Schizosaccharomyces pombe: one gene and its partners. The protein of the gene in region 4 purifies or fractionates together with the protein of the main gene of each other region. This does not show direct contact. Each region holds a gene or a part of one and is shown on either strand. Other genes may lie near its edges. The genes, in order: rvb1, taf9, sgf29 and tra1.

The links.
Region 1: the proteins of tra1 (region 4) and rvb1 purify together in Schizosaccharomyces pombe (affinity purification with mass spectrometry, with the first as the bait; one study listed by BioGRID). This does not show direct contact.
Region 2: the proteins of tra1 (region 4) and taf9 purify together in Schizosaccharomyces pombe (affinity purification with mass spectrometry, with the first as the bait; one study listed by BioGRID). This does not show direct contact.
Region 3: the proteins of tra1 (region 4) and sgf29 purify together in Schizosaccharomyces pombe (affinity purification with mass spectrometry, with the first as the bait; one study listed by BioGRID). This does not show direct contact.

Annotation. Positions count from the first base shown.
Region 1 is NC_003424.3:4,922,405-4,926,570, reverse strand, and holds rvb1 (chaperone, AAA family ATPase Rvb1), read right to left. Parts: upstream 2,325-4,166; 5' UTR 2,308-2,324; coding exon 2,164-2,307; exon of another isoform or gene 2,111-2,163; coding exon 884-2,110; 3' UTR 506-883; downstream 1-505. Other genes in the region: protein Min8, read right to left, coding at 1-33; SPOM_SPAPB8E5.08 (uncharacterized protein), read right to left, coding at 2,680-2,991; ribosome biogenesis protein Rrp12, read left to right, coding at 3,241-4,166. UniProt on the Schizosaccharomyces pombe protein: DNA helicase which participates in several chromatin remodeling complexes, including the SWR1 and the INO80 complexes.
Region 2 is NC_003424.3:336,602-340,264, reverse strand, and holds taf9 (SAGA complex/transcription factor TFIID complex subunit Taf9), read right to left. Parts: upstream 1,964-3,663; 5' UTR 1,874-1,963; coding exon 1,382-1,873; 3' UTR 502-1,381; downstream 1-501. Other genes in the region: protein Mcp60, read left to right, coding at 1-158; rcl1 (rRNA processing protein), read right to left, coding at 2,746-3,663. UniProt on the Schizosaccharomyces pombe protein: Functions as a component of both the DNA-binding general transcription initiation factor complex TFIID and the transcription coactivator SAGA complex.
Region 3 is NC_003423.3:2,418,228-2,421,955, reverse strand, and holds sgf29 (SAGA complex subunit Sgf29), read left to right. Parts: upstream 1-1,910; 5' UTR 1,911-1,974; coding exon 1,975-2,423; exon of another isoform or gene 2,424-2,524; coding exon 2,525-2,810; 3' UTR 2,811-3,218; downstream 3,219-3,728. Other genes in the region: BAR adaptor protein Hob1, read left to right, coding at 1-1,029, 1,098-1,166; pvg3 (galactosylxylosylprotein 3-beta-galactosyltransferase Pvg1), read left to right, coding at 3,654-3,728. UniProt on the Schizosaccharomyces pombe protein: Chromatin reader component of the transcription coactivator SAGA complex. SAGA acts as a general cofactor required for essentially all RNA polymerase II transcription.
Region 4 is NC_003423.3:1,902,402-1,907,460, reverse strand, and holds the start of tra1 (SAGA complex, phosphatidylinositol pseudokinase subunit Tra1), read left to right. Parts: upstream 1-2,042; coding exon 2,043-5,059. Other genes in the region: ribosome biogenesis protein Yar1, read left to right, coding at 1-229; ubiquitin-conjugating enzyme Ubc7, read right to left, coding at 717-970, 1,020-1,077, 1,474-1,662. UniProt on the Schizosaccharomyces pombe protein: Essential scaffold subunit of the transcription coactivator SAGA complex. SAGA acts as a general cofactor required for essentially all RNA polymerase II transcription.

The DNA of each region.
Region 1 (4,166 bases), on a different chromosome or scaffold from region 4:
GTAAGGTTTCATAATTCTTGATAAAACTGCCATTTGTACACTTAATAGTTAAGCATTCAAAGTCTTCTCTTCAACTTATATTGGGTTGCCCTTCCTCCTGGTCTCGTCATTATTGCTTTACTTTGGCCACACTTATGTAAAGTGGTATATTGACGAACTAACGAGGCATATTAATATATCATAACAAACGGGGTTGCTTACTGTGCGCTAAGAGTACTGTGTGTGTTGATAAAATTGCTCAATCGATGGTGTTGCAATGTAAATAATCAATTTCTAAAATGACGACGAAACAGTTATCGCAGATGGGGAATTTTTTTTCCGCGTATTACAAATGTTGTATTACTCTTTTTGTCTATCATGCTTTATGAAGTTACTGTTGAAGTTTTTTGCCTGTTATTCGTTCTTTAGCACTTGCTTATCTCAAGTGGCAGCTTGTCCTTTCGTGGAAGTAGGAATCAAAAATGAACAGAAGATTTATAAATAGCATTCAACTCAAATTTAAAAAAAAAAAAAAAAAAAAAAAAGAACTCACCTTCTTATAATATTTTAAGTTTATTTACAGAATGATTGCAGCTTTTGCAAAGTACTTCATACAGTCTTTCCATGCATGTAAAAAAACCCTAGGAGGTATTGAATTCTAAATAAATTCATTGATCCTGACTTTTATTTAGGTATTCATAAATGATTACAGTATAAATAAATGCCGGAATGGAAGGAATATAACTGGATAAAAAAAAGAAGAAATTGGTTAAGCTTAAAAAAAATTTACAAGTTTATAAATAAAAAGGTATATATATTCACAACCTGTGTAAATCTAGCTAGTTTCGCATATAACCAAAAAGTTGAAATAAGTAAGGGTAGATCGTTATTAAGGATAATATTTTTATTGAAGGAAGCCTGAAGATGATTTAACAACTTGAGCGGAGCGGCGAGCATCTAAGAAAAGATCGTTACATTCTTCGATATCTTGTACACCAATCTCTTTGTTACCATGCAAACTGGCAATAATGCTAACGGGTGTCAACAGTTGTATAACATAACGGAGACTAGTACGAGAACCTTCTTGAGCCAGCTTGTCCAAACACTCATCAGTAAGGATGATGTTTTCAACTTTTGCACGTATCTGCAAAATGGAACGAATTTCTGACTCTGAATAGGGGAGTGTGCGAACTATTAGTAATCTGTCAAGCAAATCCGTAGGAATACCATGGGGAGCTTGAATATCCTCAGTACCCCGAATGGTACAAATGCCTCGATTAGAGGCAAAGATAACAATAGGAGAAATAGTGCTTTCTAGGGCTTGGTTGAGATAAGTAAAGCACTCAATGTCTAACATATGAACCTCGTCGATGAACAAGACACCAGGAATAAGTTCAGCGATTCCTTGTTCGATATATTTGTTGACAACCTTGTTAATTTCACCACGAAGCTTATCGGTGATTTCAGTTTTCTTGGGCTTCATTAACTGACCCATCATAGACATTATATCTTGTCCTCCTTGAGGGCGGGCATTGGCAATATCCAAATCATGAAGAGTCACGTCCTGAACAATTTCTTTCCGCTTGTGTACCTCACCTTTAGGCATAGGAACATATTCTTCCGCTTCTAAATCGAACTCCGTAGCATACGCATCGCTACGACCCACTCTCTTTACGGCACCTGTATTGGCTTCTATGTAAATAACGTCCCCGGTTGACACTTGTTCTCTTTGTAAAGATTCGTAAATGCTAGGATCTAATTTGAGCTGTTTGGTACCCTTATGCGTTTTGAGGCCCAAAAGGACGTGTGAAATGGTTTTTCCATAACCGCCCAAAGGATTTTCGGCTTCTTCGGGAACCATTTCTGTAACCTCACCCTCATACACTTCTTTTGTTTCCTTTACCCGAAGACCAATGGCCCTTCGAAAGTTTTCCATTAAAGCCTCAGTTTTCTTTATTTCACTAGAGTAGACTTCACTTCCCACCATAGGACAAAAAGGAACTTTAGGACCAAGTTCTTGGGCAATCGCCAAGGCCAGTGCTGTTTTACCAGTACCAGCACCTCCAGCGAACAATACACCTTTACCACCAAATTTTTTAGACTTGATTAAATCAGTGATGATGCCACAAGCCTAAGAAAATATATTAGAATACATTATATTAAAGAATTATCAGGAATGCTTACCTCACGAGCCTTTTCTTGTCCAATGAAACCTCCACCAACAGATTCACAAGTTCCATCTTCTTTTAGGCCTAAACCTTTGATATGTGAATGTGTAGTAATCCTATTATCACGGCCATTTCCCTTAACCTCGCTGATTTGGACCATTTTATAAGTAGTTGGTTGAGGATAGCTTGCTTTCAAAATGTGACATTAGGGTTGGGTGTAGCAAAATAGTACCAAGTTAAATAAGAAGAAAGTAGAGCTGAGGTAATGAAAAAGACAGGAAATGAAATAATAAAGCAAAGAGGTGTATTCTTTCTTTAAAAAAAAAAATTAAACAGAAATTAACAATCGATTTTTGAGGAATTCTATTTTACTGTATATGATGCAAAAAAAATAGTAACTAAAACTGTTATAACGAGTACTTAAGTAATAAACGCAAATACATCTAAATGTTTTCAAAAAGTTATTCTTGATTTATTAATGAATTATAATTTTCTTATTTACATACATCCCATATGTTGATTAACTACCATCCTAGAATAGCGATATATATTTAAATAAATACGGTGAGCATAAAAACGAATAAAAAAAAAAATATATATATATATATATTGAAAACTTGTTTGGATTGCTTAATCCGATGCTACTACTGTTTCGCTGATTTTTTCTTCTGCTTTTTTTATTTTTAATCTCCGGGCAATCTGTAATCCTTCGATAGGTTTTGTAGTGCTTAAACGCTCGCTCATTTAAGATACAATAAAACATAATTTTATTAGCGACAGATAAATAAATGAATATAAACGGTAATAACTTGGGAATCATTTGTTTACATCTCAATTTTCTCATGTACCAGGAAAATACCCGCAATTCCGTCTAGCAACAGCGAATTAATGTTTATCAATAAATTTAAACTTAACCTGCCACACATCGTGATCCATCAAAAGATTGGTAAGGAAATTTCCTAATTTCACAATCTTTTTTCGCCAAACAAATAACGATGTGCAATGCACTGCGAACATATCTGTGAATTTCGCACTGATGTGGAGTTGTCTTTCACACCATCCTACAGGGAAAGTTTGGGCAGGTTAAAAATTCATGGCTGAAGTGAATGAACCATTGCAAATTGAACTTCGAAAGATTCGAAACAGCTCCACTGCAGGTGTCATAAACGAATTCGATGTAATCGTTAGTGCAGTGGAGGGGACGTTGAAGGAGCAAAAAACTGAGGCGACACCAACTGCTTATTTGGTGGCCCTTCTAACTTTAGTTAAGGAATTCACGGACTTAAAGAAAAATTTTAAGGGACACACGTTTCAACTACTGGAATTGGTTATTAAGTATGTGCCCTCTAATGTTCTGCAAGCAAAATTTCCCCAGATCTTGTCTGTCCTTGCTCCAGTTGTAAATAATGCAGAAACCAATAAAACCGTCCTTCTCCCCTATCTTAATGTTTTGGAGAAGCTTTTACTTCTTCAGGATTATAGCTCTTGGACTCATGGCAATTCTTGCAAAACTTCTATCTATATTTTATTATTCTTTGCATTGTCCAATACTGAGAAGACGAGAGTACGTTCTTTGCAAATTCTGGCCAACATATTAAAAAATCCTCCGGCAGGTCCTGTAACGGAGCATCCTGCTATAAAATATACTGCATTCGAGCCACTTCGTCTTTTGGAGTCGCTCGCTACTGCCAAAAAGCCCAAAACTCCTGCAGAAGTCCAAAAGCTTAATAATAGTTTGGTTCTTATTCGTGTGCTTTGTTCTTCTACACATTGGCCAATGACTCTCGTCGAAAGGCTATGTAGGTCCTGCGTATTAATTGTTGGACAACGAAGCACAAATTCCATTCTTCTTGTTTATCAAATTTTGGATGGGTTGTCAAAAAAATCAGTGGATTATACAGATGCTGTTAGTCTACGAATGACTCTGATTTGTTTGCAAAAATTGGAGCCATCAGAACACGATCCGATTCTGATGGTAGGCTGGTTGAAGGCCATGAATACGGCCATTCGCGCCTTTAA
Region 2 (3,663 bases), on a different chromosome or scaffold from region 4:
CCCTAAAGGTCGTACGTACCGGTTTAGTTGATGCTAGTGGAGTCGCCTCATTAATGGGTACCACCGAATGTGCCATCGTCGATGCTCCTGAAGAGTCCAAGGCCCCTGCTGGTCCTCCCGGAATGGGTGGCATGGGTGGAATGCCCGGTATGATGTAAGGTATCAAAAAAATGCCGACGTGGTTTTTTAAATTTTTACAATTTATTAAAAGCTTATGATTATGATGATTTAAATCCATTCAGAGAAATTGGCTTTAATTTTGCATTATGTTGTTGACCTTCGTAAAATTCTTTAGTTTCAAAACTAGTTAATGGGTCATACTTCTGTTAATGGATACTTATTGTTTTGAAACTTTTCATTCGGCTATTCTCATATGGTTGCTAATTGTACAATCAAACTCCTGATTTTGTTTAATGAACATAATGTTTTACCTTGTGTTTATTACACATTATAATTTCACTCTTTTTACGAATGGTATGACTTTCGACTTAAATACCAAGTTTTCACTTTTGTGTTTTTGTAAGTTCTGAATTGTGTTTACGTAAAGCATCAAGTTTCTTTATATTTCCTATACAGGTTTGTGGTGAGCTTTGAAATGGTTGAAGTATGTGAGAGATAAATGATTTTGAAAATGATGAAAATAACGCGGATGAAATATATGTCCGAGAGCGCAAAAAATGTGTGGATATTTCCGTTGCCTTCCTTCTGATTCAAAATTATTATATAACTTATATATTTTTAGCTGTCGTGCGAGTATCCCTACTATATTCTTTTTAGGGGATCTGTATAGGTCATATAAAGAAAATTAAAATGCATGATATTATGTTATCACTAGTATTGTGGTAAATTGTATTTTCAAAGTTATGATGAGAGGCAATTGTAAGTAATAAAGAAACATTGGTGCGGTGTAAATTTTAAATGAGCCTAGTAGTTGAAGAAAGCTCTCGACGAGCTCATGCCAATTTCACAGCCTTACATGAATTACTCCAGTTTTTGTAACATTTTAAGAAAAAGCGCGCCGTCACTGATGTTGTTGCCGTCTCTTTCACTTTTTTCTATTCTATGTCGTACCATATATAAAAGATACAGTGTACAGTAATGTACAATATGAGCTGAATTTAAAAATGTTGTATACTTTTTTGCTCCATACACTGATTTCGTAGCAAATAAACAAATAAACAGGTACCTTATAACTGTAAACGATTTATTACCCACGCCCTGCTTTCGCAAGTTAAATAGGAAGTTCTGGAGGAACAAAATCATATAAATAAAACCATAATCATCTGCTGCAAAGATTCGTGAGCGCTTCAAAAATATTTACATATATCTAAATCATCAGCACTTCCCCGGCATTAGTAACAACTTTAAAAGGAAAATAAATTTATTCAGACTTCACAGAGAAGTCAAGTTTATCCTCCTCCATTCGTGAATCCGAGGAGTTCTCTTCCTTTGGTTGATTCTGTTGGGTTTCATTACTGACAATCCAGTTGGGTTGAGTTAAACAGTACTTCTCCGGTGGAAGACGAAACCCATAAGACGGCTGAATTTGGGGTAAAGGTTTTCGATTTCTCTCCATAGCAAGCTCTAGTAAAAATTCTTTTGGTGGAGGTCCAGTGAAGGAGTGATTGATTTGAGAAGCAACAGCTAAACGTACATCTTCTACAGAAATTGGAGCATTTTGCCCACGTGAATGTTCCGCATAAACCTGTGAATCCTGGATTAACTGCTGTGTATATCTATGTGCAAATGTTAACAACTGCAAAGGCACTGTTTGAGAGTATGATGGAACACCCAGAGAGCTAAGTATTAGATGAATCAGACGAACGTCCTTAGGTCCTTTTATAGATTCATCACTTATTCCTGGAGAACTCATGATTTATTAAATACTATAAGTATATGCGAAGACAAATACGACTCCCGTTATTTTTCTGTTTTACCACCCAAAAAGATTTATGGTCGTTGCGAGCGTTGCAAATTGTATCCACTCAGAAGTTAGCGTGAGTCCACTGCACACCACTAAATAGCTTGTTTCAGAAAGTTTACAACAATGCTATTTTACATATACATTACTAAATATTTCGAGTCATAAAAATTTATCTAAGCAAACTTTAATTTATGCAGAAGGAATGATTTCATTAAAGCAATTCCTATCAAAGTTGCTTTTAGTATCACCAATGTTAATAATTTAGAAGTTACATAAAATTTTAGTATAAGCAGCGTAAAGTAAAAACTCTCATTTAGTAAATAATAAAACGAACAGGATCATTCATACAAAATCAATGATGATACAAATTTACTAAAAATTGGCAGTGTTTTTTTTTTACAAAAGGACATGGAAAAAGGTTGAGATTTTCAAATGAGAAGAGCATCTAAGAACTAATTTTCTGAAAAAGAGGCATCGGGAAAGAAATATTAAAGCAGAATGAAGTAGAAACAGAACCAAGTAATTTAAAGGAAACCAAAAAAATTCAAACCATAATTGAAAATGAACATAACAAGACCGTTAAAACAACTGAGTCACAAAAACGTATTTAAATCTCTAAATATGTATGGTGCTTTTTTTTTATACTCATGTCGTAATTGCAATGGGAAGTTAATGGGTAATGAACTTCTTAGTACGATTAAAGAGTAAATATATATCAAAAAGACGTTCGTTCATTTTAAGTACCCGAACAATATGTTAAATGTAATGTTATGATGTTTAAGAAGAATAAACGAGCAAAGGACCCACTGATAAATGGTTTTCTATTGAATGCGGCGATTGACATTTAAATATCCTTTTCCTAAGCATGACATCTCCACCTGGCCTGATTCGAGCTCTTTAAATCTATATTCGCAATTGAAAAGTGCCTTCACATCCCGAAGAAAAACAACTAATTGCGAAGTAATACCAAGTTGACCCACAACTATTGTGTTAACGTCTTCAGAGGATAGTAGCATCCCGGTTAAAGTTGAAGGTTGTGTATATGGATCTACACAACCACCAGATTCAATAACTTCCAATAATTTCTTTGCGCAAAAGGAACCAACATCTTCTGGTGTTTCTCCAGCTTCACCACAATGCTCGGCAGCATAAGAGCAACCCTTATTAGTTTCTGCAACTAAAGTGATAGAATACCCAGGACTGTTACCACATTCATCTCCACGGCGAACGTCTGTATAAATGAAAACATCGGGTATAAAAGGATTTAAAACTCCGCGAGCAGATTCTACTAAGCGATTTGCAAAAGCGGGAGATACTCTAGTTGAAGAAGCAATTCCTCTGATTCGGAAGACTCTTCCAAATTCTGAGAGACGAATGGGAGGTAAAGACTCTTTAATTACAGGACATAAAAAATTCACTTCACCTCCTCCGCCAGGAGCAGAACCACGCTTTAATATGCGCAACTCAAGTTCATCACCAACTTGAAAACGCTTTTGAAGAGAGGGTAATACACTAGTGCGCAAAACATCGACACCAATATCTTCATTACTGGAAGTAACTCCAGTAAGAGTAAGTGAAGTAGGGGTTTTTGCAAAAAGACAAAGTATTAGAATTGGTTCCAAAAAATAGCCTATCCCTTTGGTAGTTGGACAATCATGGACTACACGACCTCCTATAATATTTCCTGGGCGATATATGAACGAAGTACCTGTGTAAGAAATTTCTATGACACTGCCATT
Region 3 (3,728 bases), 520 kb from region 4:
GCTGCCGAGGCTTACAAGGAAATTGTATACGATCTCCAAAAGAATTTGGCTTCTGAAATGGATGTTATCAACACTCGCATTGTCAATCCAACTGGTGAACTGCTCAAGATTGTTAAGGATGTAGATAAGCTTTTGTTGAAACGCGATCATAAGCAGCTGGATTATGATCGTCATCGTTCATCTTTCAAGAAACTTCAGGAAAAGAAGGATAAAAGCCTTAAAGATGAGAAGAAGCTTTATGAAGCTGAAACCGCCTTTGAACAATCTTCCCAAGAATATGAATATTATAATGAAATGCTGAAGGAGGAGTTACCTAAACTATTTGCATTGGCTCAGAGCTTCATTGCTCCCTTATTCCAAGGATTTTACTATATGCAATTAAATGTCTATTACGTTCTTTATGAAAAGATGAGTCACTGCGAAATTCAGTACTTTGATTTCAATACCGATATTTTGGAATCGTACGAAAGAAGACGCGGCGATGTTAAAGATCGCGCAGAGGCTTTGACGATTACTAAATTTAAGACCGCTAAACCGACGTATAAACGACCGGGTATGGGACCGGGTGGTAAAGATGCAACTGCTTCTTCTTCTTCTTCCTTTTCGTCAAAGCGTGAAGAAGCAGCAGCCGAACCCTCCTCTTCGACAGCTACGGATATTCCACCCCCATACTCAACGCCATCGGTTGCCGGAGCTTCCGATTATTCTACCCCAAGTGCAGGTTATCAAACTGTTCAGACGACCACTACTACAACTGAAGCAGCAGCTGCTCAATACCCTCAAGCGGCCTTTCCTCCCCCTCCAGTTATGCCTCAACCTGCTGCTGCGGCAGTGACCACACCTGTTGCTGCACCGGTAGCAGCAGCTGCAGCCGCAGTTCCCGTACCTCCACCAGCGCCTGCACCTGCTGCGGCTCCCGCCGCAGAGCATGTTGTTGCTTTATATGATTATGCTGCCCAAGCAGCCGGAGATTTATCTTTTCATGCTGGCGATCGTATCGAAGTTGTTTCACGTACTGATAATCAAAATGTAAGTACTTAAACTTAAATTTTCATTTTTTTCTTATTAAACAAGGACTTTACTAATATATATTTTAGGAATGGTGGATTGGCCGACTTAACGGTGCACAAGGTCAATTTCCTGGTAATTATGTTCAGCTTGAATAAAGCGTTTTTAAATTTACCTAGATGTGTCTTAAAATCTCGCTGCCTACTGAAGTCAATATAGAAGCTTGATTATAGGACTTGTTGTTACAGGTTACTGTTTGTGTGCGCGCTTCAACAAGTTTTACACTGCTATTCAATTTCTATCAATTTTGTCGTTCTAACTATGATGCTTAAATTTAGACATGTATTCCATACATCATCATCTCCAGTGATAATTTAACACTGTCTATGTTTGAATACTGGCTTTTTATCAACGTGTTTCCTTACTGACGTGTACTTCAAAGAGTAGCACATTTTTTGAAATGTTTTGAATAACGTAAACTTATATATATTAATTACGTTTAACTGTTTTTATTTTAATTTAACTAGTCTATCAACAAAGCTGTCCTTTCTTATATCTATACTTTAACAGTGCTAGCTAGGATTGAAGCAAAACATGATTCGAACTAGAGCTTTCATTGTGATATTGAATTTTTTGGGATTTGTAGTTTCAACAGTATAACAATCGGAATTGATGTATTCTAGCAGGAAATATACGACATACAGTATTTAGAGTCGTTGCTAAACGAGAATCGTTTAACGAACTTCGTTAACAGACAGTATTCCATGACTTAAGTGAATAGTTAACTACGTAACCTAATGCAGCAACGATACGGTAAATACAATATCGAGTGTTAATGAAATTTGTAATAAAGTAATTTGCATAGCTGATAGTATCATGCAAATCAATCTAGTAAGTGAGTTAGCACCTACCAAAGGAAATTGGATGATGAAAAGTGTTGTTTGAGAATATCAGTTACAGGATATTATGGTACGCCCCATAAATGCTGAAGAGGATGTGACATCCATGTGGGTTAAATTTCATGAAAGCCTAAATCCCATTCGGTCTAGTTTAATAAAACAAGAAGAATGTTATAAAACGGTTGATGGCGACGATAATCCAATTGAAGAAAGAATTAAAGCGTGTGACGCGGGAATTCAAACCTCTGAAGAACAGAAAAAAGAATTGGAGCATACAATGCAATCTCTTGAGATGATTATTAATGTACTCGAAAAAGCCAATGAAAAACCTGTAATTACAAATAGTCCTTTGACGAGAAGTCGTCGAAACCGAGGAACAAGCTTTACAGCAAATACAGTAACCTTTACACCTGGCATGTCTGTAGCTTTCAAGTTACCATACACGAGGCATAACGAGGGAGGTGATTGGATTCAATGTATCATTATTAAAGTGACTGGAGAAGGAGCAAAACAGAGGTGAGTTTTCAAAAGCAAATATTGTCAGTCGCGAGTTCAAATTTACTTCTAAGCTTATATGTTGATAATATTTTTTTACCAGTATATTAACAAAACCATAGATTTGAAGTGCAGGATCCAGAACCGGATGATGACGGTAATGCAGGTCAAATTTATAAAACTACAGCTAATCATCTTATACAAATTCCTGCAAAAGGAACTCCTTTACCCCCAATAAGCCCAAAAACAAATGTTTTAGCTCGATATCCTGAAACTACTACGTTTTATCGGGCAGAAGTCATTCGCACTCTGCCTGATGGATCATGTAAACTTCGATTTGAAGGAGAAGAGGAAGTTGGGAAAGAAACAGTGGTAGAGCGTCATTTGGTGTTAGAGTACAATGGTTAAAACTGGAACGTTTTACTCAGATTTTTTAGGAGGTATTAGTTAAAGGTTATTTTTATTCACTTCGATATTAGGTTCACAGCATTTAAAAAAATTGATGACATTATCTGTAATATGCATAACTCAGATTTAACATTTTTTTTATTCATTGTGATGTTGAGTTGTTCCTTATATTTTATATATTAATGGCGTTAACGCATGTTAATAACTTAAGCCAAGACAAGGGCTCATTCAAAGTACTTGCTTCTATCGTGTTGCACATCTAACATTGCTAATGTACGCCAAATCTGCTTGCTTCCTTGACATTTTGCAAGGAATCTAATTTTAAAAAATAGTAGTAACATGACAGTCTAGAAAAAATTTCAAACACCTATAGAGGAAACTGAATACTAAAACTAAGTTCATTTAACGAGTATCTCCTATTAAATTATTCATAAAAATAAACAAAATAGAAAAATTGTATATGTATGAATCCTTTGGTTAATGGACTCTGAGATAAAGAAATGTAGCAACCCGGTATATATAGTTAACGCATTTATAGTTACCAACGCTATGAGGGCATTAAGGGTTTGAGTAGCTGCTCTTCTGGTTACATTATGACTGCGTATTTATGGTGGACGTGAATATGGCACCAAGCACAGCTTTGTTTTCAGAACCAAACATTATACTCCTTTCAGAGTTATATTCTGTTTGCTGGCTCATATATTCAAGGAGTCTTTTGTTTAATTCTCAACGATCTTTAAGTTTGGTTTTATTTTATTCTTTTATTCAAAGGGACAATTAATATTCACGTCTCTCTAATTGACCTCCTGGCGCAACGTGCTCGTTTAATTAAACTCTTTCACTATGTTTTCAAATTCTAAAAAAAAAATTTTTCTTTACGTGCTAATTGCCGGTGTTGCTACTTTTTCCTTTGCTTTT
Region 4 (5,059 bases):
AAACACCGCAATGCATTGGGCAGCACTGAATGGACATGCTGAAATTTGCAAATTACTACTGGAAGCGGGAGGTGATCCTCATATTAAGAATATTTATGAGAAGTCACCTATATATGAAGCTGATATTCGAAATCAGCAAAAAGTAATGGACCTTTTTCTGGATTTTGAGATTGCTAAAGGTAGTGAAGAAAACACTGGTGATGAAGAAAAATTGGAAGATGGAATATGATCGTTTTATTTGATAATTTCTGATTTTTATTTTGTAAAAAAATTTACCTCTTTCTTTTGTAGGTTGTGGGAAGCTAATATTTTTATGCACCTGATGCATTTTTTTTTTCTTTTGGAGCATAATTTGGGGTTATTCTTATATTTTGTTAAGTTTTTTACTGTGTAATTTCTAGATGTTTTCTCAATATAATTCGTTTTCAGCGATGTACGTTGCCATGTATCTGTGTAGAAAGTTCAAGTGATGTTTATTAAAAGATGGATTATCTCAATAGACAAAATGTTTATCTTCCATCATTTACAGATAGAAATTGAATTGGAAAAGTGCTTTCATTTTTGTTTAAACCTTGTAATTAAACCTATGTAGCGTTATACGTTGGAATAGAAAGAGAAAAGCCTACCGGTTGCGTTCAAAAATGGAACAAAACTTTATTTCTAGATTTTATCAGGTTCGTTATTCATGGCAATCTAATCAAATATACAATTCATGGTTATAATCCCAAGGTTTTACGAGCCAATCGTCGAACTACACGACAATATTCTTCTCGATCTTCTCTCCACATCTTGCACGCATCGATGTTAGCACCACTTTCATCGTTTGGTTCCGCCAACATCGACATTACCGATAACAGTATTTTTTCAACAGATTGAACAGGAGACCAACGTTCTGAAGACGACTCATACATATTTGGATCGTCACCAGGTGCATGTAGGATGGAAATGCAAACCGTCCCATCTTTGTAAACTGAAATGAAGGTTAGTCTCGAAATTTGGATTAATAGTATCTGGCATACCATTTGGATGGAAAAATTCACACTCAAACTTTAAAGTAGGGGGGCCAAGAGGATAATCCTACATAAAAAAGTTAGAATCCAATAAAAATAAAACTAAGCACGTATCAACGTGCGCTTGAACACCCCGGATGTACTGCCATGCGATTCAAAGAAAGAAACCAAACCCCCAAAAAAAAACTTAGATAGATCTTTTAAATAAAATTTCTTCCTACTCATCAATAAATCGAAGGATTCATCAATTACTAATGAATAAAAGCACTTCTCTTAAATGATCATTCTAAACGAATGGATTATTGAGTTACTTTCTTTATTTACGCTGAACAAATGTTAATTTATGAAAAAGAGCGCGTATTTTTTAATAAGTAGTTGATACATAAAACATGCGAAACATCATACTTATCCACAACTTAAATCACATGTTCAGTCTCCATCAGGTTTATAGTAAAGGACTTACGGAAGGAAATTTCAAGGTAGCAGGGTATAACCCACCTTCAAATGGAGTTCCATCAGGGCCTTGAATTAGGCAATCCCAAGTAAAGAAATCATCCTCATTCGATGGACCTGCAGTAATACCATCAGGCCCATTCTCCGTTAACTCCTTATACTCCTTCATTAACCGTCGCAACGCCATAGCTTTACTCATTTTGGAAATCAATTAACTTACTAATCGGTAAGATATATTAAAGATCACTGACTAAAAGGTAGCCTAAAAATGGTAATGAACAGATTAATGAATGAATGGTTTGTTTACGACAAATTATGCAGCTGAGGCTAAACGAACTTTTGTGGTATCACTCGCTATTTTTATCTCGTTCATCATTTTAGCAACTTCTACCGCACAAAATAATAAGGCCGTTAATTAAAATAGCGAAAACATGTAAAATTCATAAAGTGATTTAGAGGAAAGAAATGCAGCTTGCTCTATCCCACAACATTCCAATAGTAATTGTTAAATACTTAGGAAAACGTATCCGAGTGCAATTGGAATTTAAAAAAGAGCTTGCGCAGAGATCCAAGCATCTGATGGATGTATCACAATGCGAACATTGGCATAATCGGCTTTGTGATGTTGGATTAGACTCGAAGCAAAAGGCAAACACAGCAATTGAAATTCGAGATGCACTGGATGATGTGTTGGTAACTGAAAAGACGAATTTTGAAACTTTCATTCCTCTTTTGGAGGACACGTTGTCTTTGCTTGAAAAGGAACGTCCTGTATTTTCATCGTTAGCAGCTACACATCGTTTACGCATTGCATTGCTTGAATTGCTCAAGAAATCTGGATCCTATAAAGGTTTTGAAGCATTCGTTAATCGGACTTTTGCCGTGCTTCTTCGTATAGTCGTTAATGATAATGAAGAGATGGCAGTGTTGGCATTGAAGCTTGTTGTCCTTCTTTTTAAGGACCACAGTAGCCTTGCTAAGGGACATGTTCAGGAATTTTTATCCATTGTCGTTGAAAACTACAAATCCATGACCACAGTTGTTTCAGAAGCTTTCCCACCTAGATCAGCTCCGAATACTCCATCCTCTCATCCCATGTCTGCTGCATCTTCTGCATCTCCTGCTGAAATTGGAATGGAACATGCAGGTCCAAAAATGATCCCAAAAGCTTCTTCGAGTTTCAAGGTCACTGCTGAATTTCCCATTATCGTCTTTCTCCTATTTCAAACATACAAAGATCTTATTCCGAAAATGCTTCCTTTACTTGCTCCGCTTGTACTTCAATTTATCTCACTTCGTCCTCCACCTCAAGCCGAAGCTCGTCGACTTGCAGAATCTCAAAAAGAGGTTTTTATTGGTGTAGTCCCTTCTTTGCGTCGAAATCATCTTTACAATGACCTTATTTCTGCGCAAATTAAATCATTCTCTTTTCTCGCCTATTTATTGAGAAGTTTTGGTGCTGCTCTTAAACAGTTTGAAAGCTCGATCCCAATATGTACCTTGCAATTGTTCATGGACTGTCCTTCCGAATTATATCAGACTCGAAGAGAACTTTTGGTAGCTACAAGGCACGTCTTATCGACGGATTATTTGAGAGGGTTTCTACCGTATGTAGATCAACTACTTGATACCAAAATTCTAGTTGGTTCTGGAATCACTTCTCAGCATTCATTACGACCCATGGCTTTTAGCATGCTGGCAGATATGCTTCATTATGTGCGTATGGAATTAAGTCCACAACAAATTTACAAAGTCATACTTCTTTATTTCAGTATTTTGATGGACGACTTTTATACTTCAGCTATTCAGGCAATGGCTACAAAGCTTATTTTAAACTTGGTTGAAAGAATTGTTGCACTAGAAGATTTTTCCACTAGCCGATCACTTCTATTTGCTATACTTTTATGTCTCTTAAGAAAATTGACTTCTCTGAATTTCGAGTTTATGAAGCTGAGAGATTCTTTACAGGAAAATGCTGACTTAAAGCAAATTAAAATAGAAGAAAATAAACATGATCTTCCTATGTTTGAGAACCCTACTGGAGCTGCCCAACCTTCAGGTTTGGATAAGCTAAAAGATTGCATATTTCTTTTTAAAAACACCTTATTAGGTATTAAGCCTGTTTTGTTTGGACTAAAGCAACGAAATATTCCTCTTGCCAACGGTTCCATTTTTACAGCTCAGGAATGGTCTGAAAAGTTACATCTTAGTTCAACTAATGAAGTTTTACTGTTTCGAAGATTACTTGTGGAAAGTTTAAAGGGATTCAGTTATTACCAGACAGATGAAAAAACCGGTGTATTCAAGTCCTCGAAAAATCTTGCATACTCTCAACTTGATTCTTCGTTGACCACAAACCCTTCTAAACTCTTAGAAGAGAAGGAGCTCTTAGAAATGTTAGCAACTTTATTTTTACACTTGGACCCATCTGTTTTCGTCGAAATTTTGGAATCCGAGTTTCCGAATATATTTGAGTGTCTAGTAGATAATCTTGCTTTATTGCATATTTTCCAATTTTGGATGTCTAATGAAGTTACTTCTGTCAACTGCACGGGCATCGTGCTGTCTTTTTGCTGTGACAATCTAGCTAAAATAGGGTCTGGCCAATCCACTCGGGTTTCTGTTTTATTGCGATTATTCAAGTTGGCCTTTATGACTGTGAATGTTTTTCCCGAAAAAAATGCAGAAGTCCTGCGTCCCCATATATCCTATATCATTTCAACTAGCCTCGAATTGACTACTGATGCTGTTGAACCTTTAAATTACGTTTATTTAATGAAAGCTTTGTTTAGAAATATCAGTGGAGGAAAATTTGATTCTCTTTACAAGGAAATACTACCACTTCTCCAAGTAATGCTAGAATGTTTCAACAGATTGATTTTTACTGTTACGTCTACATCCCAAAAAGAGCTGTATGCGGAACTTTGTTTGACTTTACCCATTAGACTCAGTGTGTTGTTGCCTCATATGAATTTTTTAATGAAGCCATTGATTGTTGCATTAAAAGGCCCCCCTGAAATAGCTAGTCAAGGGCTTCGAATATTTGAACTTTGCTTGGATAATCTTACTCAAGAATTTTTGGATCCTTTATTGGACTCAATTATGCCGGATTTGCTGATATGCCTGTGGAATCATTCACGCCTTAATCAATCCAATAATCAATTGCATCAAAGTGCTGTGAGAATATTAGGAAAAATGGGTGGTCGAAATAGACAAATATATCTTGGTACCTTTGGCTTTGATTTTTTGCAAGATGAAAATATTTTTCCTTCAATCCAGTTTTCTTTCCAAGGCTCCTCTCAGAATTTTAGCTTAGAGCACTCCAAATTTTTAATGTCTTCATGTGCTGTTTTAAACAATCAAAATTCCGATTTAGAAGAAAAGAAGCAAGCATTTCAAATGGTCAAGAATTCGTATTTATTACTCTTTGCGTCTGCGAAGCCCGATGAAGACTTTTGGGAATCTATTGATACAATGTGCCGAGCAGTTGTAGATCGCATGGATAAAAACTTACAGCAAGTCTCTAATGGTAGGTTGTGCCCTGACAAAGATGAATCTTATTATCTGCAAAGATCTATTGTCTCAAACATTTTTAA